Linked DNA regions of Arabidopsis thaliana. The protein of the gene in region 1 interacts with the protein of each later gene in a pairwise test. Each region holds a gene or a part of one and is shown on either strand. Other genes may lie near its edges.

Region 1 (5,518 bases):
ACTTTCAAATGCCCTTTTACATTTGATGTTTCATTAGATTGGAATTGTGAATTAGGGGATTTACTTATAACTAGGTTGAGCTGTTTTGTGTATTCTGTGTTATGTGGTATATGGAATTTGCTGGTGGGTGTGTTGTGGTGTGCGTGCGTGTGTATCTTCTTCGTTCTACGTTTTGCGTTTGGGTGTGTGGTGTGGTGTGGTGTGGCAATAGGTTGTACTAACAACAATTATGCATCACGAGAAAAGTGCAAGAAATGTGGGCAATCTAAGGAAGTAGCAGCATTGTCAGCACTTGCTATCCCTGGAGCTTCTCTTCAAACTCATCTCCATTACTTCACCCGTGGACCTGAGTCACATGATCAACCTGGTTCTTTACTCGCATTCTCTAACGCTACAAATCAAGCTTCGGTTCATAAAGAATGGAGGAGTGGTGACTGGATTTGCAGATGTGGTTTTCACAATTATTCCTCTCGTATACAGGTGAGGAAATGGGTTCACAATGCAAAACCGACTTGCAGATTCCGGCTTGTTGTTTTACTCATTTCTGTTTTGTATGTCTCTGCAGTGCAAAAAGTGCAATGAAATAGCTCCACTAGGTAAGGTTTTTGTCTAAGACCGATGCGCGTGCAATCTTATATAACCCGAAGGTGTCTGATAATCCTTTCACGAGTTTTAATATGGGAAAGTTTATTTTGGGTTGCAGCCCTTGGTACAAAGAGATTAGCATCAGAAGCTTTGGCTCATGAATGGGATAGCAAAAGACTGAATCAAGGATATGTAAGGATTAGTTAGAGCGCATAAATTGATTAGTACATTCATCAATTTTACTTGCTGCTTAACCAACCTCTGTTTCTTCTGGCTCGTTGTGCAGACAAGCATGCAAACACAGTCAGCGATATATGCATCTTTTCCTGGTATGAGCCTAGGAAGGGTCTCAAATTGGCAACTTCCTCTCCCGTTTCTACAACAACACTCAACACCTGCTTTACTTGGAATGGGGTACTGTATTGATCTCTGGTCTCCATTGTTTTCTTGTTTTCTAAACGCTAGAACAATGGCGTGATCTTTTGCAACCTTCCCAATTCTTTGTGTTGTCTGATTTCTTAGAGTGAAACAATGGCGTGATGGCGACTGGATGTGTACAAATTGCAAGAATCACAATTATGCATCACGAGCAGAGTGCAATAGGTGAGTTTTAATCTAGTTTTTTCAGTTAATAATTCTGATTCTTTGCATTGAGTTAAGGTAAACAAAAAGCCGAAGAAAAAAATATTTTCTTTTCCATGTCAGGTGCAAGACTACACGAGATATCCTTGATCAGGACATAACTCCAACAGAACAATCTTGAAAATTCATGAAGAGTGTTGTTCTCTTGTGTATCTTAATCTAGTGAGACATGGCTACACATTACTCGAAACTAACTTGAATATATAAGCCTCAAAATGTTTTGGAACAGAGAATGCAGACACAGCTACAAAGCATTTCTTAACCCTTTAAGATGTTCTTAGGATCAAGAGGCGGTGTATCGAGTTGATAAAGATTAAACGCCGGTCCAACAAACCGGAAAAAAATCCAACCTCCAATGACAATGTATATCGACGCGTAAGCCAATTTGTTTAGCCAAAACAACAAACCTTTCTCTCCAACATAAAGCTCCAATGCCTTCTCATTCAATGTCATCTCTTCCCATGGCTTTTGAACAGTCTCTTTTTTCTTCCCGCTTTGTCCTCCTCCTTCTCCTGAACCCTCTTCCCTCATTTTCCTTCTGGATCCTCTTTTGAATCTTATCTCCACTCCATCCAACGGCTGAGTAATCTTCTCTTCATCACCGCCACTGTTTACGCAGTTTATCGATAGAGTTCTTCTGTTGCTACGATGCAACTGGAACTTGGTTTTTGTATAAGATTGTTGCTTCAGATTGATAATCGTTGAATTGGGAGCTAAAAAGTGGAGACTTTTCATTTTTGTTGTTGTTTTTAAGATTTTGAAGCTATGATGAATGAAGGAAGAAACGATTTTGCAAAAAGATAAGCTTCTTCATCTTCCACCGTTAAAATCCTCTGACCCAATTATGTCTCGACAGGTGGCGTTTCGAAATTAATGGGCTTTTAAGAATTTTAAACGGCCCAAGAGCTTTAATTGGCTGCTTAAATACCGATATTACCCTTGTTTGGTTAATACTAGAATTTACAAGTGTACCGTCACAGAATCCACACTGACAAAAGAGTACTAGATTTCAAATCGTGGACTAGGAAATTTGAATTTTCTGTAACAAGAGTACTAGATTTGGATTGTATCGAGCGTATCTCATGGAAAACGATCCATTTCTCCGGCAGTACCAGCCGTCGGAGCTTAAGATCGCTTCGGAGTTTCTGACGAATTGGCTTCCTTTTTTATCTAAAGATCTATGCAAGGATTGTAATCACCTTCTCTCCAATCGAATCCGTTCTCTTGACCCAGGTAACGATTCTCAACTTTTTCTTAGAGGCGAGAGACTTTCTGGTTTCTATGGATATTGAAATTCTGTATAGAAAGCGGAGATTTTCTTCATTATTGTACTTGATTCTGCTTTTTTGATTGATGTTCTGCTAAATGATAAGGTTACAAAATTAGGGTTTGGTAATTGGAACAAATAGGAGGCGAGAGAGTAGCAAGTACGTTTCTAAATTTGTGAATTAAGTTATGATGTGGAGTTGCTTATGAGAAATCATGTTTCCATATGTGTAGCACATTGTAGTAACAACACTGACAAAGTTGATGGAGAGTGTAAAACTGGTTCTTGTTCAGTGGTGGAAAATATGGGATCAGAAAGAGCTAGTAACAATGTGGATGATAATTATGATGAGAAGTCGGAAAATGGCGAAGACTGTGATAATCATTCGTTAGGTAGTTGGAAGGGAAGTGAAATTGTATTTGGTTCCTTTCCTGAAGATTTTAGTAGTGTATTGCAATCTAGACCAGCTGTTGTTGAAACAGCAAGCCCTCGTATGCGTTGGGCTGATATGGCACAAGAGGATGAGTTCGATGAGGAGGAGGAGGAGGAGGAAGAGGAGAGGGATTCGAGTAGGAAAGGTTTTGATGCGAGTTCGATGAAGACTCCAGAGAAGCCTAAGTTGTCTAGAGATCAGAGAGAGAATCTCAGGCTGATTAATGTGAAGAGAAAGAAAGACTTTATTTGCTTGGAGAGAGTTAAGGGAAAGATTGTTAACGTGCTTGATGGACTTGAGTTGCACACTGGTGTTTTTAGCGCAGTGGAGCAGAAACGGATTGTTGATCAAGTGTATCAACTTCAAGAGAAGGGACGAAGAGGAGAACTTAAAAGTAACTTCTTGTTTTGATCTGAAAATGCTCTTATCTTAACTTGTGACCTATTTTTAATCTGAATCTTGTCTTGTTCTCTCTCTGTAGAGCGTACATTTACTGCTCCACATAAGTGGATGAGAGGAAAAGGACGTGAGACTATACAATTTGGCTGTTGCTACAACTACGCTCCAGTAAGTAACGTTCTCTGTCATACTTTCATTAATCTGTTTCATTCTTAAAAAAGGAGTTAAGAGTTTTGCCTTCTTGTATTTTGGGTTGATAGGACAGAGCTGGAAACCCACCGGGTATCCTTCAACGTGAAGAAGTGGATCCACTACCTCATCTTTTCAAAGTAATCATTAGAAAGTTGATTAAATGGCATGTACTGCCTCCAACTTGTGTGCCCGATAGCTGCATTGTGAACATCTATGATGAAGGTGACTGCATACCTCCTCACATCGACAACCACGACTTTCTCCGTCCCTTCTGTACCATCTCTTTCCTCAGTGAATGCGATATCCTCTTTGGCTCAAACCTGAAAGTTGAGGGTCCTGGTGACTTCTCGGGTTCATACTCAATACCGCTTCCTGTGGGGTAAGCAAGTTCGTAAGAATTCCCAGTTTCAAAACTTTCGGCCATTCCTTGTCGAATAGTATGAAATCAAAGACTGTTTTTTTTGGATATTTTCATATTTATCAGATCAGTTCTGGTGTTAAATGGAAATGGAGCTGATGTAGCTAAGCACTGTGTACCTGCAGTTCCTACAAAAAGGTTATAAATATTGTTGCATCAATTTTCTTCTATAAACAAACATTTTTTCTCTTATGAGTATGTTTCTTCCCGGTTCTATTCAACAGGATATCAATTACATTTAGGAAAATGGATGAGTCGAAACGCCCGGTTTGGTTCACCCCAGAGCCTGATTTGCAAGGGATTGAGCCATTGCCATTGGACCTGAACCGGTCTGGTTCTACTTCAAGGTTCTCAAGATTAAACAACCATAACGGTACTAACCAAAGAGGACATGGACGTAGAGGAGGAGGCAATGGTTATGACTCAAGAGGTTACTATAATCCTGAGAGAAGCAGTGAACACAATGACTCTGGAGACTGGCCATCAAGCCAGAGAAGAGGAATGCCACGTCCTAGTAGAAGAAACTACGGTTAAATTCTTCAACTTCTGAAACTGAAATTTATAAGTTCTTTATTTAATTAACCAATTTTCCATATAAATAATTAATTTGTGCAACATATATACATAAGTCTTGAATTTTTTTTCAAACAATTATTTATGTCCGGGGTATTTTTATATCCGTTTTTGAATTTTTGACCGTATTTGTAATTATGTATATCTTACACAGTTCGATTTGTCATTTGTGTGTTTAGTGTGAATTGTTCTGTGGTTTGTTTCGCTTTACTTTTTTGTCAAATTTTCCAACTGATGTGACTAAAGAATTTCGATCTACGAGAGCATATATATATAGTAATCGATAATTGATTTGACCAAGTAACCAATTCTTCATTTATATGTTTTTGTGACTATAGTGTAAGTGTACAATTATCTTTTTCAATTTTTTTGACTGATCACAACTTATCGTATAATCAAACCTTTCGAACATGAGTGACTTATATGAATGAGGCCTTTGCTAATCTGATTTTGAAGGTGTAACTTATAAAAACAGCTCAAGAATTCTTATTTAAATAATTTACAATTTTACCGGATGTAAGACAAATTAAGGGAAAAAAATAAGAACCAAAGAAAACGAAATAATGAAAGAACACGTGGGTTTAGGGATCTAATAAGAATCTCTTTCTTAAAATCAATAGAAAGAGAGAAGAAAAAGGGTTTGGGCTCTATTGAGTATGACACTTTTATATCAATGAAAAGCGACGATGTGTTGTATATGAGATATGGAATGATCTTCTCATCTCAAATCCCTATTCGTTTTTTAACATCATCATTCTCTTTTCCACCATTCTTTCTACTTTCTAACAATGTATCCTACCTTTTTTCTTCTTCTTGGTACATACTCTATTACTTTTACTTTCTTTTTTTTTGTATTTCAAAAACCATGCATCTTCTAAACAATGTTATCGGTTGAGTTAAGTTTCCGAAATTACATTACCGCCACTATTATATTTTTCTAACTTTGGTATACAATATAGATGATTAATCATTTTATGCAAGGTTTAGTGATCAATCATTTTGTTAAAAA
Region 2 (8,976 bases), on another chromosome or scaffold:
CGCTCGTTGGCGCTCATTGTACGGTCTTTCCTACCCAGTCTTCATCACCGTCGTCGACAAGCTCAAACCATTCATCACCGCTTCAAATCTCTCTCTCCCCGCCGATTACGCCGTCGCTATGGTCCTCTCTCGTCTCGCTCATGGCTGCTCAGCTAAAACCCTAGCTTCTCGCTACTCACTAGATCCATACCTCATCTCCAAGATCACAAACATGGTCACACGTCTCTTAGCCACCAAGCTATATCCAGAATTCATCAAAATCCCCGTCGGAAAACGGAGATTGATCGAAACGACTCAGGGATTCGAAGAACTCACCTCTCTCCCCAACATTTGCGGCGCCATTGATAGTACTCCGGTGAAGCTCAGACGCCGCACGAAACTAAACCCTAGAAACATTTACGGTTGCAAGTACGGATACGACGCCGTTTTGCTTCAGGTTGTTGCTGATCACAAGAAGATCTTTTGGGACGTTTGTGTGAAAGCTCCAGGTGGAGAAGACGACTCTTCTCATTTCAGAGATAGTCTTCTATATAAGAGGCTTACTTCAGGAGACATTGTTTGGGAGAAAGTTATCAATATTAGAGGTCACCATGTGAGACCATACATTGTTGGAGATTGGTGTTATCCTCTTCTCTCATTCCTGATGACTCCATTTTCACCAAATGGCTCTGGTACGCCACCGGAGAATCTATTCGATGGAATGTTGATGAAAGGAAGGTCAGTGGTGGTGGAAGCTATTGGATTGCTCAAGGCTAGATGGAAGATTCTTCAGAGTTTGAATGTTGGTGTGAACCATGCTCCTCAGACTATTGTGGCTTGTTGTGTGTTGCATAATCTTTGTCAGATTGCTAGAGAACCTGAACCGGAGATTTGGAAGGATCCAGATGAAGCTGGAACGCCTGCAAGAGTTTTGGAGAGTGAGAGGCAGTTTTACTATTACGGGGAGAGTTTGAGGCAAGCATTGGCAGAAGATTTACACCAGAGACTCTCCTCGAGGTAAAAGACATGAACAGATCTTGGTCAAAAAATGGAGCTTTCTATCTTTGTTATCATGTAAGAAGCAGATGCTTTCAAGTGTTTAGAACTTTAGATAGCATTGTAGATTCAATCCTCTTGAGAAGAAAGTTTGAGGATTCAGAAATGTTAAAAAGCTGACTTTGTTGCCTAGCCATCCCAACTGTCAGTTTTGTAACTTAGGAATGGGTTTATGGTTTGTTCTGTAACACCTTTTGAGAATGAAATGTATGACTTCTATTGATATGGATTATGGAATCTTGAGAAGCAAGTTTTTCCGAATTTGAAATATTAATAGCTCTCTGTTACTGTAAGTTTTGTGACTTAGGAATGGGTTTTTATGATTTGCTTTGTGGCACATTGTGAATGGAATCTGAATCTTTTTCCTGGAAAAAATGGAGACAGCCAAATGAAAAGAGAAAGGGATGTTCTTAATATCTGTCTTCCATGATTTGGAAGAACACGACTGTGGATTATCATCTTATTATACAACTCTCCAGGCCTGTCGGATTTTTCTGGATACTCTCTTTCTTTGTCGGAACTTAGCATTCTTTTTCTAACACTATAAACATAGGAATGGGTCCTGAAAAAAATTCCAATTCCCAACCCCAATCCACCCATTTGCTTCTTGCAGTTGTATGTTCTTCCTCTTTCGAATCCGTTATAACACCGAGTCACTTTCCTCATCGCGTTTTCGCTAAAGATTGTCGAGTCGAGACACCGTGCAGCAGTTTGACAAAACCCAAGAAACTCAGCTTCCCGTCAGTATGTCTTATCCAGTCATTTAGAATGGTATGAACCGGGATGGATGATCCAACACCAAGTTCCTACAAAACATTTATGTTCCCTTCGTTTAGGAATTAGCTGAATAAATTGTTAAGCATGACAGAAGCAAGTGTCGAATTTCTTATAAACTTACAGAAGCGAGTTCTTCGATGACGATAACTCGGTTTCCATTCATTTCAAATAGCTCATAAGCATGACGAATGCTCTGCTCCCAACAATCAAGAGACTCATGCTGATGAACGCTAATGGAAGCTGCACAAAACTCTTCAAAATCCATCCCTTTGTATTGAAGTCCATTTAACTGTCATTTCCCAACACCAAACTTTCGTTAACCAACCTTGGATTGTATCTTAAACAGATTAAGCAAAAGGACAAGAACAGAAAGGAGACAATACCAATGCAAGAAAGTCCGGGATCCGTGATTCCTTCATTGCTTCTGTTGCATTTGTCGCAAGTGCCTGTCCAACAGAAATAAATCTAGCTTTGAGCTGTTTGCTTTCTACCAGAGAGAGACAGAGAGGAAGAGAAGGCACATACCAGTCTGATGCTATCTAAAGTGATGAGGCCATTTTTGTTGGGTGCTAAGTGTGCAAACTGCGCTTTCAGATAAAGAAGTTCATCGGTAGTTAATGTCTTGGACAGAGCCTGGAGAGAATAAAAGAGTTAGCAAACTAGATACAAAGGTAATAAATATCAAACACATCCTTAAATGTTGTTTGGAAACAGTAAAAAAGGTTAGAAGCAAAATGTACCATCAAAGCAGCTTTGCGCAAAGACGAAGATCTCAAGTATGCTTTGATCTGCTTGAAGATCAGAATATCAAATGGGATATCTATTTTCTTATAACCCGCGATCCAAGGATGCACTGTAAAAACCGGAAAAAAACGTGGAGTAACTTCAACTGGTGATTCATGAAAAGCTAGAAACAGAAGATAAATATAGAAAGATGTGGATATTTTAGAGATTACTGACTCAAAGCTTGAGATGCAGTCATTCTTTTCCGAGGGTCCTTGTACAATAATCTCTTAACAAAATCTTTTGCCTCAAAGGATAACGAAGGCCAAGGAGGTTCATCAAAACTGGGATCAGCTTTTAGAACTGCTCTGAAAATTCCTGATTCAGTTCTTGCCCAAAAAGGACGGCTTCCACATAGGAGAATGTATGCTATGACTCCTATGCTCCATACATCCGCTTCTGTGGTATAAGATCTGTGTAGAACTTCAGGGGCTACGTAATATGCACTTCCCACTATATCATTTAGTCTTTCGTCTGGTCTGACAAAGTCCGATAAGCCAAAATCTATGACTTTCAACATAGAATTCTCCTCCTTGGAAGTGTACAAGAAGTTCTGAAACATGAAAGTGTTTCAAATGTGAGATTGGTATTCAACTAAGACAATATTTCTTTTGGGTTTTGAAAGGAAAAAGCAAAGACAAAAAGTGCGGTTCACCTCTGGTTTTAGATCTCGATGAACAACTCCTTGGAGATGACAGAAAGCTACGACGTTAAGGATCTGTATAAGCACTGCTTTTGCATCATCTTCAGAGTATTTTCCTCCCCTGTAAGAGAAGTAAATTTGAAATAGTTAGACAGCCAATAGAACATCTCTAAGAAGGATCTCTGACCATAAGTTAACAAATGTCATAACAATCTTTAAAAGCAGACCTTGCTAGTATCCTGTCAAGAAGTTCACCACCTCCACATAACCTGAAAGTTGAAAGAAAGTAAATGTTTATTCACAGCTAAACATTTTGAAGTAAGCCAAGTCGGGAAAATAAGAATCTGATAGCTCTCCTAGTAGATTCAACATGACACAGGAATATATAAGCACATGATTGTCTTACTCCATAACGATGTAAACGTTGGCATTGTCCTCGAACGCATCATAGAATTGTACCAAATTTTGATGTCCAGATAACGCCCGCAGTATTTTCACTTCTCTTCTCACATCCTCTATAGATATTGCAGATGTCATCTGCCAAACCAAAGCTGATGAGAAACAGTCTATTGTGGATTAAGCTAACACTAAACCTATCTGTATATTACACCAACTAACTCGATTACATGATTAACTTTCTTAGTCATCAAATAAGGACCATCAAAATTTCAATTGCTTAATGACAATTGACAAAAGCACAAATGTCCATGTTCCAATTTATTGACCAATTTAAAACGTTTAGAAATGTTCACAGAAAAGTCAGCAATGCTAATCTACAACCATTGAAAACTTGGCTATTGAAAAACATGGATGAAACATAAGTGTCATTGACAAACTTCAACCTCATCTGTGTTCGCTATTACTTGTTTTTGTATTAATTTCTATGCGTGAAAGTCTACATACGCTATCAATTTTTTCAAAAAGATGGCTCAAACAAGAGGACAGTAAGCTCGTAGAGAAGAACAGAAACATCTCAAGAGACCGTAATGATCAAATTACAGGTTCATCATGAAGCAAAAGGAGACTATGATGGTTTGTTCTTCTACCTTGAAACAGTTTAACATCTACTAAACAAATCAGACAAGACACACAAAGAATCTTCAATTTGTCAGATATAGCTATCACTACAATGATGAAGCACTTGAGCCAATTGAAGCAGAAAACTTAAGATGGAAACTTGAGAATTTGGAAAAAGTAAAGCTGTAAAAATGACCTTAGATTTTGGGATGACTTTAACAGCAACCTCCTGATCTTTGAGCTCTCCTTTCTTGAACTTAGCAGAGCAAGTATACCCAAAATGCCCTCTCCCAATCTCTTCCCCTAGCTCAATCCTACTCTGTAACTCCTTGGAAAACCCAAATCTTTTATCCAGCCCTACCTCTTCCCTCTCCTCCTCCTCCTTCTGCTGCCTCGCCGCCGGCAGAGCAGCCTCCTTCTTCTCCTTCCTCCGCCGCAGAACATCCCGTATATGTCTCGCCGGTGACGGAGGGTGGAAAGCACGCGCGAGCTGACGGAGAGGAGTGCTGGTAACGCTCTTACTCTCTCCTCCTCCGCCGTCGCGGCTCTTGTTACGGCGGTGCCGGGCGGGACTAGGCGTGTAAAAAGGGAAAAAAGGAGAGGCCTTTACGGCGGGAGATGAACGAACCGGTGATTTCCCGGGATGAGCAGGGGTAGAATCGTCATTTTGGAGAACCGCGTCTTTGGGTGCGTAAGGATTAGGTTTGACGGAGGAGGAAGGTTTGGAAGTACAGCCTCCCATATATCCTTCTCCTTCTTCTTCTTCTTCTCCGGTTCAAAGAAATAAAAAAAGACAGAAGAAGAAGATATGGGAGTTATGTCTGGACTTAAAGAGAATCACAGCAATGACATTGAAGCACTCTGGTTTGGTTTCAATGTAGTTAGAGAGAGACAGAGAGAGAAGAAGTGAGCTGTAGAAGAGAGAGAAGCCACATGGCAGAATCTGCGGGTGGTGAAGTAGCTTCCTTCCATCTGATGAAGAAGGTTAGATTTTAGATGTGGATTGGTCGAAATTTAGTTTGCTTTTTGCCACGTCTTTCTACTTTTGTCCCTCTTTTTTTTTCTTTTTAATTCACAATATGTTTGTTCTTTCTCTAAGCAATACTATACGTTTTCTTTTGCTTTTGTATTTTATCTATCATTATTTTTTGTCTTTTTTTCTTGTCTTTTTTGTTGTTGATATTGTCTTTTTGATATCTTATTGGGAGAATAAAAACGTTTTGAAATGTATTTATGGACGTTATCATTTTCAAAAGTGGGAATTAAAGATAACTTTTAAAGCTCCATCTTGTGATACTACTAAATTAAATATTTTATTACTAATTAACTAGGGAGGTTATAAAAGATACAAATAATATTGCTCTGAAAATCAGGATTTACGTTATATAAATTGATTGGATGTACCTGCTTGACCCTTTTTGAAACATGCTGATGTTGTAACCTAACAACTTCATTGTATCTGGACAGGTCGTATATCAATTTCAATTTTTAATAAGATTTCATCATTTTCAAAATATTTGATCCACATCTCTAAGTTCTTTTTTTCTTTTTCTTACTAACTCTTGATTTGAAAATCTCTCTCCAATACCAATCGTTAAGATCAGTTTAGTTATCATTATTTCTATCTACCAATCGGTACGTAATTTAGTATAGACTATGAAGTTGGTTTACTGATATTGCATGTTTGGTTTCATGTAAATACATGTCCAACAATTTCCATCCTTTGAAGGTTTTCTATTAATTTGGGAGTAAAATTAGGTTTTGTTTCAATTAAAGATTATACATTTATTATAATTAATATGATACTATAAATTAGTTTGTTTGACAACTACCATAGGTTATGAAATTACTAGACAACCTTGGCAAGAACTTTTGTTATCTCAATACTCATTTGTCTTTTCACTTATTTTTAGAAAAAAATTGTACATTGAATCCATTTTTTTTTTTTTTTCACAACATTGAATCCAATCTAAGGTCATTGAAAAATGTCTTTTCAAGTATTGGGTTTTGTAAACAAAATCCAATCGAAAAATGGCAATTATTGTAAACAAAACCCACTTCCTTATATTGATTGAGATGAATAATGGATTCAATAAGTGACTCCGCCTTCTTCAAGGTTGTTAAAGAATTGTCGAATATGTCTTAAAAATTAATATATATCAAACCGGTTAAAAAACCATTTGGGAATGTCAATAGATACAAGTTACTGGAATTAGTTAGGATGCAAGAAGATAGTAACATTTTACCTGATTATTTCCTTTCTTGTGCTTGTGCTTTTTATAAACTATTCATCATGTTTTTTTAGTTTTTCTTTAGAAAGAAAATTGATTAGTTTTCAAGTTTCACCCAATCTTTCAGTCACTTATTCAAATCCATTACTCATCTAAATCAAAACAAAGAGTTGAGAGGGTTGCAATTCTTGTGCTATATAAATTACCCCTTTATTATTCAAATAATAATCTCACAAAAATAAAACATATTAAACATACAGAAAAGAAATTGCCTCAAAAAATGAAAAAAGTTATATAAAACGAACCCTCAAAAAACGTCACCGTGCCTTCACTATCTTCTCCCAAGTCATGTGCCTTGCTTCTTTTGAATGCATCTTAGGAAAACCAATCCATATGTATTATTTGGTTAATTAACTCTAAAATCTTTTACCTCTATTATAATAAATCAATTATAAATAGCAGTCCTTGTGGTGGGTAACTATTTAGAGATTGTTAGGTGAGAGTGAGATGGAAGGTTTGCCACGTCCCATGGTGAAGCCTCTGGTTCCATCAGGCATTCTTGGTCCCTTTGTTGCTGTTTTAGGAGACGAAGATTCGTGTGACCCCAGGCTGGGTATCCCGAGGCTGACTCCGAGCCCAATCCCGAAGCTACGTCCTCCTCCTCCTACTGCGTAGCTTCTTGGGGATCGTCCTCGTCCTTTTCCTCTCCCTTTACCCCACAGTCCACCAACATTGTTGTCATCACCCTAACGTGCACAGCAAGAAAATTTAGTTTCTATATATATATGGAAAAACATTTCGTGGGACTTAAGCAACAGTACTAACATCGTTATCAAGCTGTGATTCGGTTAAATGGAGACGCGGAGAGTCTTCTCCTGATTCATAAGAAGGGAGTTCATCATCGATGAGGATTCCATCGAAGTTTCTTCGGTTCTTGAGCACCGATTTTGGCTGTAGCACACAAAGTATATCAACGAAATTAATCTCAGAACGTCTAGAGAGAAATGTGTGACTTAAGAAGAGAATATAGAAATCAACCGAGCATCTAAGAAGCAGCCTCACACGAAGCCCTTTCCTCCAGTTTCTTTCATCGTTTAGCTTCTCTACCTGGTAAGATCGCATTTGCTATATATCTCAGAAACTAATAGACAGAGCCTTGGATCAAAAGATAGTTGAAAGTAGAGATTTACTCACTGCTTTGTCCGCGATAACAGTGTTGTCATACTCGATAAGGGCGTGAATCTTTAGAGTAAAACAAGATGGATATGTTAAGCTCTTTAAGTTGACGTGATAAGTAGAAACAGGACTTGGTACTTACTTTGTTGCTCATCAAGAAATCGCCTTTTGGACGAGACGAGTTGGATTCTGGAGGATGACATATACGAATCGCTTTGACGCTGAGACAAATTGCATCCAGAGTTGTTGTTTATTGATGTAGAGAAAATGTTTAAAATGAAAGTAAAAAGCCTTCTTACTTTCCAACAACTCCAAAGATCTTCTCAAGGTTCTGGTAAGAATGATCATCTGGCAAATTCTCTGCAACGACAGTCCGGCCCTGCAGAACAGTAAAGAGTAACAAGAACTCATATATAGTTGATAATAAATACAATGAAGCTTTAGTGATATTCAAATTTACCTGCAATTCCTCTCTGTCTCTATCAGTAAATTGACTTGTACGCTTAACTTTCTTGCCGTCTTCACTCACAACCTTAATTGTGTTCACAAAGATCTCTCAGTATACTTGGATCTTATAATATTTAGTTGGTAAGTCGAGAGTAAAGAAAGAAGCAGCTTACAAGTTTTGAAGAGGAGCGTAGAGCAAGTGAAACTAGGTGGTGATTACTCGTTAAAGCCTTGATCTTCTTGGTCGAAGCGATATAGGATACGGGCACTGCGTTTTAAACATATATATGAATATGCAAAACAGAGCAGAAATCTCAAGGATCATATTTTAAACATATATATTAATGCAAAACAGAGCAGAGATCTCAAGGATCATATACAAGTTAAATGAAAAAAAATTTAGGCTTACCATAACCTTCAGGGTCTTTGCTTATATGCTTTGAAATGGACTCGTTGGCTAGGAGACTCATGTCCGTAAACTGGTACTCAACCTATAAAAGTGGTTTCTTGTGAGTCAAGTTAGGTTTTCTATTTTATGAAAATTGATAGGCTAATGTAAATCATATATGATCTTAAGATCTCATGACATAATGATTTTCAATATTTTACCTATCATTAAAGTAAAAAAAAAAAAAAAAAAAAGTGAAAACCTGTTTGACGATCTTAAGGCGGAGATCATCGGAAAGCAGATTCTTCGACGAAGAAGACGAGTTCTGACTAGCCGGAAACTGAACCGCCGGATTCGAAATGTAAAACGCAGCCGCTGGATCATGAACATGTTGATGCTGAGCAGTAGGATCTCCTCCTCCCACGTAGATCCAATCCGACGACTGAGTACCAACGCCGGTCCCTCCACCACCGCAGACT
Region 3 (7,710 bases), on another chromosome or scaffold:
AACTAAAAAAAGTTTTCTAGTGCCGAAATTCGATCCCGGAAACTTTTCAAATCCGGAAAGCCATCAATCAATTAAACCGGAGAAACAACAATCGAGATAAATTAAATCCTTGTGTTACAGCGGATCTTTTGATAAGCAATGAATTTACACTGTATATATATTTACACAAATAACAACAGATAAATTAAAAAAGTTTCCGCTGCCAGGATTCAAACCTAGAAAGCGATCAATCGATTAAACTAGAGAAACAGCAATCAAGATGAATTAAACCCTTGTACTACAACGGATGTTTTTGATAAGCAATGAATTTACACTGTATATATTTTTACACAAATAATTACATATTTCTTTTTAAAAAAGTTTTCTTATGCCACAGATCGAATATGAGAGACGAATTCTTTTGATAGGCAATGAATTTGGTTTGTGGATTTCAAATTTAGGAAAGTTATCAATCAAGATGAATTTAACCATTGTGCTATAGTGAAACTATTGTTAAACTAGGAATTTACACTATATTAGGGAAAGACTAACATGACCGAATAAATGAAACACAAAAGACGACTAACATTAACGAATAAATGAAACACAAAAAAACGAGTTTAATTAGGAATTGAAGTTCAGTTCAAAATTAGAAAGATTTGTATCACGAAAGTTCAACATAGCAAAACAATAGATGAGATCGAACCATGTGACATAACGAGGTTTAATTAAGCACAATCCTAGATTCTATTCCTTAGCCCACCAAATAACAACTACTTAAGTTTCATGACACTGTTTTATGTTAAACTTCTATGGAAACAGTGTCAAGTAAATCAATTGATGGCATTCGTAGATTCTATTCAAGTCAATCACCTAATTATGTTAAACTCTATCTGAAAATAAGATTATGTAATAGGCTTACTAATCATCCTAGCATCGCCTCATGGCTAAATAATGGAAAACTTATTAGATTTGTGTTAAGTAAATTCATAACGGCCATAACCTCCTTTAGGACATGGAAAAGCCTAAATGAACTGTATGATCAAACTTAATCTTGTGGAGAATGATCACACATCATAAAGATGAGAGAAGATTTGAGTAGTATATAAAAGACATTGGATAATTCATTAATTACCAATTGGTTTTGAGTTGGAATCCCATGAAACTTAACATGATAGGAGAGTCCAAACACACGTTGTCTGACTAATCTGGCCAGAAAGTTGTCTGAGCATTCTACTAATTGATGGTTTAAATGAAGATTCAATCCTATCGAGATAGATAGAAAATCATTATTTCGAAGAGACGAGATAGATTCTATCAAAATTAATGGCCAGAAAAGCTATTATTTTGAGAAAACGTGTGGACAAAGATCTCATATTTAAGCTAGCTCATTGCCAGAAAGCAAACAGGATAATATGGAGACACCAGACCAGACGTGTGTAACTAAGCAAGAGAAATAAGTTTACATAGAAAGCATCAAAATTTCTGATTTTAGCACAATATGCCAAAAAAATCGCCAAAAATAGTAAAACGACGAGGAATTAAAGAAATAGAAAATGAGAAAAGTTTCTTGCTGACGATAACGAAACTAGTCTAGTAAATTGAAGAACGCAACTAAGAAGAAGTTGGTTTCAAAGATAGCTTAGAATGATGCTGTAATATTCAAGCCATGACCAACTTTGTGAACCAGATTATTTCCCTTACACTCCAAAAGAATAAAAAGAAAACTAAGAAAGATAAATCTTAACTAAGCGTTTGGAAAATGATCATGAGTTCCAAATATATATCTTGATAACTGATTCCATATCTGCTTAAGAAAATAAATGTGCCTCCGTAGAAAAATGGAACGTAACTAGAGTTTTCAGACCGTAGCAACATTCAGCTTTGTCCACTTCCGGAATATTGTCATAAGCAAAAGAGATGATGATTGGCAAAATATTCCACATATCAAACCAATCCACAAACCCTGTCGCCATCAAAATAATGAATCAAACATAACATAATCAAACAAAATTTACTAATCTTATTATAGAATCAAGCAATACCTTGGCATAAAACTTCAACTTGAAACCACAAAAGGCGGCAATCGGCATTCCAATTAAGTAGAATGTCGCCAAATTTATAACCGTGACTAAACGCTGCCATCCGCATCCTCTTGCAACTCCTGTAAATAAATTTAACAATGATTTTTACCACCCTAGATGAGTAAAAAAAAAAAATATATATTGGATCTTTTACCTGATAAAACTCCTTGGATTGAATCAAGAGTTATAGAGGCAGCAAGAAAAAACCTCAATGATGCAAACTCCTCTTTAATCACATAGCTATCGCTAAATAACCCAACCCAACCATCATGACCTACGAGTAAAACAATTACAACGCCGAGAGCAAGAACTAAAGACAACTTTACGGACACAGAGGTCGCCTTCTTTGCGCCTTTTACATTTCCTGCTCCAAGTTCATTGGACACACGCGTACTGCAATATTTATTTTCGATTTTTACATTTCCGAAACAATATTTTTCAGCAAGATGGAATACAAAGTATTTTGAAACTATCTAGTAAAATGAGCAAACCTTGCAGCTGCACTAAGTCCGTATGTTAACATGTAGCTAATCGCCTCCGTGTTGACGCTGAATTTATTTAACATAACACACATTGAGAAATTTGATATAATAGATAAAAAAAACATTAACTACCAAAAAAGTGATATTAAAAATATATATTTTTTACCATATAGCGACCAAAGAAGTATTGATTTCCGGGTTTGGCATCACTCCTGCCAAGAACACAAGAATCTCGAATGCCCAATATTCCAAACTGTTGCAACAATATAGTCTCTTAAGCTTCAACAAGCCTAATGATATTTTTTTTTCTTTTTGTCAACATGTACTATTTGGTTTTGACCCCGGGTATGATTACATTGACTAATATAAACCACTAGGCTAGATATAACGGTCAAGAAACATATATACTTACCATACCATAGCAGCAGAAGGGAGGCTTAATGTCAAGTTTATTACGATATAACGGAATGATTCCAACGAAAATCCAGTCCATGTTTCCTTAAACTTTTCTGAACACATCACATAAGTTCCAAGCGAAAGGAAAGCTATCCACAATGAAATAGATGTAGCTATTGGAGCACCAATGAATCCAAGCCCAGCTACATAAACAAGAACATATGCGGTAGCAATGTTTATCACCAAGGGAACAAACGAGAAGATGACTAGTGGAGCAATGATCGATTGTGTTTGGCAAAATCTCAAAATATTTTGTAAAAACCCGTAAGCTAGTAAACCGGGAGCTTGGTACTTCATATAGAGTGCAGCTTGTTTTGAAATGCTAGGATCTTGTCTGAGAAGTCCAAAAATCGATTCTGTGAAGAACCAGAAGATGGTGATGAGGATGCTGAAAACTAATGAAACGATGCAAGATGATTGTAGATGAACTCCCAACATCCTGTATCTTTTTGCACCAAAGCCTTGTCCACATAATGTCTCAAGTGATCCACTTAACCCTACCTGAAAACAAAGAGACATTAATGTATGTCATAAACAAGCACTTATACATATATACCGTTGGCCAAATGTTCTTGAAGATGTCGTTAATAAAAATTTAGACAACTCCTAAAATCATCTACTAGTCATTTATGTCGAATAAATCATTTTAAACAATCTTGATTCTTGAATTCGAGTTCGAGTCTATTATTGAGATGGAAATAAGTGGGTTTTAGTAACTTTTGCAAGTAGACATCAAAACAAGATTTTAAATTACAAAAGCTAAAGAAATAAGGAAATAATGGTACCATGAAGGCAAAACCGGAGACGGTGGCCCAAGAATTGGCAAGGGTGGCACCGGCGAGCTCGAGTTGACCGAGGTGAGAAGCAAACATCACAGAAGTTATAGGAATACAGTAGTAGAAAACATTGGTGAGTATCATTGGCAAAGAGTAAATCATTTGAGCTTTTGCTTCTTCCACGTCGATCACTTTTTGAACCAAAGTTGATGATCTTGATCTCCTTCCTCTTTCATCTTCTCCACCTACATGGTCATCCAACAACGGAGAACTCGTTGCCGGATCAGCCATTGGATTTTCTTGTTGAAGGACTTTGGGTTTGGTTAAGACTTGAAGAGGAGAATTGTGATTTGGCAAGGTGAGGAATTAAATAAGAGATGTACGCAGAAACAGGATATTAAATACCAACACAAGAGGCCTCTCTGCCATTTACTGCCACATTATAATGCAATATAAATACATTTTTTAATTATGCCAAAAAAGATTCAATTTATTACATCCTCAGACTAATTATTTTTGGATCAGAATCAATAATCTTAAAACAAAATGATGACTTAAAAAGTCAACCAATTAAATTTGCAATGTACTATAATCAGGCAGCTCATGAGTCATGACCACCCGATTACCACCTCAGGAAACTTTGAACATTGGACTTAACTTATCGTTAAAATTGTGAATAACAAAACTTCATCAATTAAGAAATATTTCTATATTACAACAATTCACCTGTTTCAAGACATGCATAGGATTGGTATTAAAATACAAAAGTAAAACTAATGAAAATTTGTATTTGAGTTTTTTTTTTTTTTTACAAGTTTTCATTAGTTGTATAGTCACATTTAGAGAGAGTATCGTAAAGACGTCGTCACCTAGTTACCAAATCTATAGGAGAACTTTTAGATTTAAGAACGTTTTCCATACTCAAACTCAGAGTTCAGATATGGTACCCTCTGAGCAAATATTTATGTTTGTATCTGATTCGTGAAATCGAGGACTCTGATGCCATAAGATTGAAGAAGTTTCCATCTCACAAACATGCCTCGTTTATTTCATTGATCTGATTCTGTTTTTTTGGAAGAGAGTTTGTTTACAATTTTTATCTGATTCTACAGCTCATCTCCAGTACTAGGATCCAATTCTAGTCAGATTCATGGTTACTCATCTTCTTGTTTTTTTCTGAACCATGGTTACTTATCAACTAGAACCAACAAAGACAGATAATTATCTGAAATATCAATACAAGAATCCATATTTAGAAAAAAAAATTATTTTTAATCATCAAATTAATAATTAAACAGAAGCTGGTGAAACTAACAACTATCTGTTAAACATTAGTTGAGAATTGCTAATTTTGTCAAGGTTTTATGATTTACTAAGAGGTCGATTTTTCAAAAAACAAAAAAAATCGTAATGCAGATGAATTTTAAAGTAGAGCTAATTCATTAGTCATAGAGAAAAATCAATTTAGAAAGATTTATATAGCTGAATTTGGGGATGTCTTTATTTCAATATCAACAACATAAATAGGCTTAAGGTCCAAAGGAACATTAAGATATTTCTAGAACGTCTTAAGTTTAACTCAAACTGATGTTTCTCAGACTGAAACGAAACAGAGAACACTAGCCACAAACATGACAAAGCAACATAAATTAAAGAAGATACTACTAGTTACATTTATTATTTAAAGAGTACTAGACATGATTTTGGGTCTCCGCTGGTTATGTGCAAACCAAAGCTTAGACCGTTTCAAGTTCTCACTTGAGATAGTCGATGAGCCAAGCGAGCATGTCCTTGTGAGCTTCCATTGCAGCTTCAACTTCTGATGGATCATTTTCATTGTATCTAACAGTCCAACCGTGTTTGCATCTTGGGAATATCTTCACAAAACTCTTCACCTGAAACATATCACTTTGCTCACAATTATCTACTTGAAGAAGATATCTACTTCCAAAAACACATCAACTACTAGTTGTGTTTTTGTAAGTAATGAAAATATTACCTTGCATAAAGACATAGAGCTAAGCAAAGTACCTGAGGTTTAGAAGCTAAAATATCTTCGAACTGCCTCACAAGTTCTGGAGGAGACACTTGATCGATTTCAGCTCCTAATACAGCAATTGGAAGGTTGACCTCTGCTTCAATCATATAGTGAGAGTCATAATCACAACAAATGAGAGAGAACTATCAAGTAAGGAGTGGCCATATCAAAGATCTAAATACCCTTGATATCATCCACCGTAACGCGAGCAGGATGTAACAAAACAGTAGCGTCAACAAGCTTTTCCTTAGCTAGTTCCACCGCAACTTTTGCTAAAGAATAAGAAACAAAAAGTCTTGTGTTAACTAATATACATGGTTGACTTATTATACAGATCATGGAAAACATTTTCATAAAACTGTGGTGATGATGGGAACAAGAAAACCGAACTCACCACCCCAACAGAACCCTGCTGCTCCTATACTAGTTATGCCTTTGTTCTTCAAGGCCTCCACTATTGGCTTTGACTCCTCAAACCCTTTCTCCTACAAAATCCATAGTCTGGTTTCAGATACATTGACACAGAACAGTACAAAAACACTGACTTAATCTTAGCTTTGCAATCAACAATAAGTAGTGATAGCATTTTGGCACTAATAATAAGGGATTATTGGGATACTTGGACTATTTCATGCTGGGAAACAAAGACTCATTTATGTTTTTGAGAAAAATTGAGGATTGAACATTTAATAAGGAAAAGAAACTAACTAGTTCATGATCTTTCATCCAAATAGGAAACGGACGATCCTGGTTCTCGGGATTATAAGGATCTCCATGGAAGAAATCAGGAACCACCGCGTAGAATCCAGCTTCTGCAACCTTGTCAGCAAGTTTCCTATCAAGGGAAGAACAATATCCATGACAAGTTACAGCAAGAATGAAACATCTTTCGAGTGACTATAAAAGGTGATATAAACTATAACTCATTATAACAAAGAATCTGAAGTAAAAGACTGTCTAACAATCAACAAAAGACAAGCTGATTCAGTAGGGATTCTCTGTTACAGCACCTCAGGTTTGGAGTTTCATATCCTGCAGAAGAAAACGTTTTAGATTCTCAAATCAAACCAACAAATTCAGAAAGAACATCAAACGTAATTGGGACAGGTAAAAAGGTTTTTTTACCGAAAACATGAGGGACAAGAAGAACAGCAAGCTTTGAATGAGTGGAACCACAGACGTAGGTGTCAAGGTTACCGAGTTTCTCGACATGACCCGACCCGCTAGTTGGATCCAGATCAGGCGGGTTCTCGGTGCACTGATGACCTGACATTCTTGTTTTCGCCGAACCAAAAAACAAGACGACTCCTCTCTCGCGCTTTGGGACCTCTGTTTTAAAAAGTAAAGCCACCAAACCACCTTTGACCTTTCACACCAGTTATCTACACTACGTGTGCGTATCTACTCTTCCACCTAAAAAAACTCACGTGCGTTAAATAAAAACTAACTTTTGCAATGTTAATTTTTCTTAGAATAAATTTGCTAAATGGGGTAATACCTTACCTTGAATGATTGAATGATTCTATGCACTTATGCAGAGTAAAAAACAAAACCCAACAATCAAAGATTATTCTAATTCAATTATCAATTTTATCATAACAAACAAAAACTCTTTTGACAAATTATTTATGTGGCTTCCTCTAATTATCTTTAACTTTTTTTTGTTTAATTCACAATTTATGTGGTCAGATATTTTTTCTTCCTTCCACAAGGTGTTGCCTTGAAAATCACGTCGGAAGATCACGAGGAATCGTTTTGCGTGCGCCACCCAAACAGACAAAACAAAAACACTTCTTTTGTTGGTTCCTTGTCGGTTTCCAAGGGTTTTTGTTTAGGGTTTTCATTTTCTTTTTCCTTATCTATCTAATCCTCTGTTTCTCTCCACATCAAAAAAA

What was found. Proteins that work in one complex are often made in the same cells at the same time.
Region 2: the proteins of AT2G17972 (region 1) and AT3G19100 interact in a protein complementation assay, tested with the Arabidopsis thaliana proteins (one large-scale study listed by BioGRID).
Region 3: the proteins of AT2G17972 (region 1) and ALF5 interact in a protein complementation assay, tested with the Arabidopsis thaliana proteins (one large-scale study listed by BioGRID).

What each region holds. Positions count from the first base shown.
Region 1 is NC_003071.7:7,818,068-7,823,585, reverse strand, and holds AT2G17972 (uncharacterized protein), read right to left. Parts: upstream 2,002-5,518; 5' UTR 1,963-2,001; coding exon 1,486-1,962; 3' UTR 1,349-1,485; coding exon of another isoform or gene 1,291-1,348; 3' UTR 1,256-1,290; downstream 1-1,255. Other genes in the region: AT2G17975 (zinc finger (Ran-binding) family protein), read left to right, coding at 212-480, 566-596, 704-777, 872-999, 1,108-1,188, 1,291-1,348; AT2G17970 (2-oxoglutarate (2OG) and Fe(II)-dependent oxygenase superfamily protein), read left to right, coding at 2,310-2,460, 2,728-3,321, 3,409-3,494, 3,587-3,897, 4,003-4,074, 4,161-4,470.
Region 2 is NC_003074.8:6,601,702-6,610,677, reverse strand, and holds AT3G19100 (Protein kinase superfamily protein), read right to left. Parts: upstream 5,383-8,976; 5' UTR 4,998-5,382; coding exon 4,452-4,997; intron 3,776-4,451; coding exon 3,645-3,775; intron 3,508-3,644; coding exon 3,466-3,507; intron 3,360-3,465; coding exon 3,251-3,359; intron 3,149-3,250; coding exon 2,773-3,148; intron 2,666-2,772; coding exon 2,553-2,665; intron 2,446-2,552; coding exon 2,338-2,445; intron 2,259-2,337; coding exon 2,196-2,258; intron 2,102-2,195; coding exon 1,934-2,101; intron 1,842-1,933; coding exon 1,698-1,841; 3' UTR 1,383-1,697; downstream 1-1,382. Other genes in the region: AT3G19120 (PIF / Ping-Pong family of plant transposase), read left to right, coding at 1-1,000; LARP6c (RNA-binding protein), read right to left, coding at 6,969-7,232, 7,312-7,437, 7,525-7,593, 7,681-7,728, 7,805-7,883, 7,962-8,194, 8,283-8,377, 8,519-8,600 and 1 more.
Region 3 is NC_003074.8:8,452,521-8,460,230, forward strand, and holds ALF5 (MATE efflux family protein), read right to left. Parts: upstream 4,189-7,710; 5' UTR 4,069-4,188; coding exon 3,787-4,068; intron 3,503-3,786; coding exon 2,958-3,502; intron 2,799-2,957; coding exon 2,712-2,798; intron 2,612-2,711; coding exon 2,555-2,611; intron 2,457-2,554; coding exon 2,218-2,456; coding exon of another isoform or gene 2,177-2,217; exon of another isoform or gene 2,144-2,176; coding exon 2,025-2,143; intron 1,946-2,024; coding exon 1,841-1,945; 3' UTR 1,383-1,840; downstream 1-1,382. Other genes in the region: AT3G23570 (alpha/beta-Hydrolases superfamily protein), read right to left, coding at 5,532-5,672, 5,809-5,909, 5,998-6,087, 6,210-6,300, 6,524-6,650, 6,826-6,847, 6,941-7,088.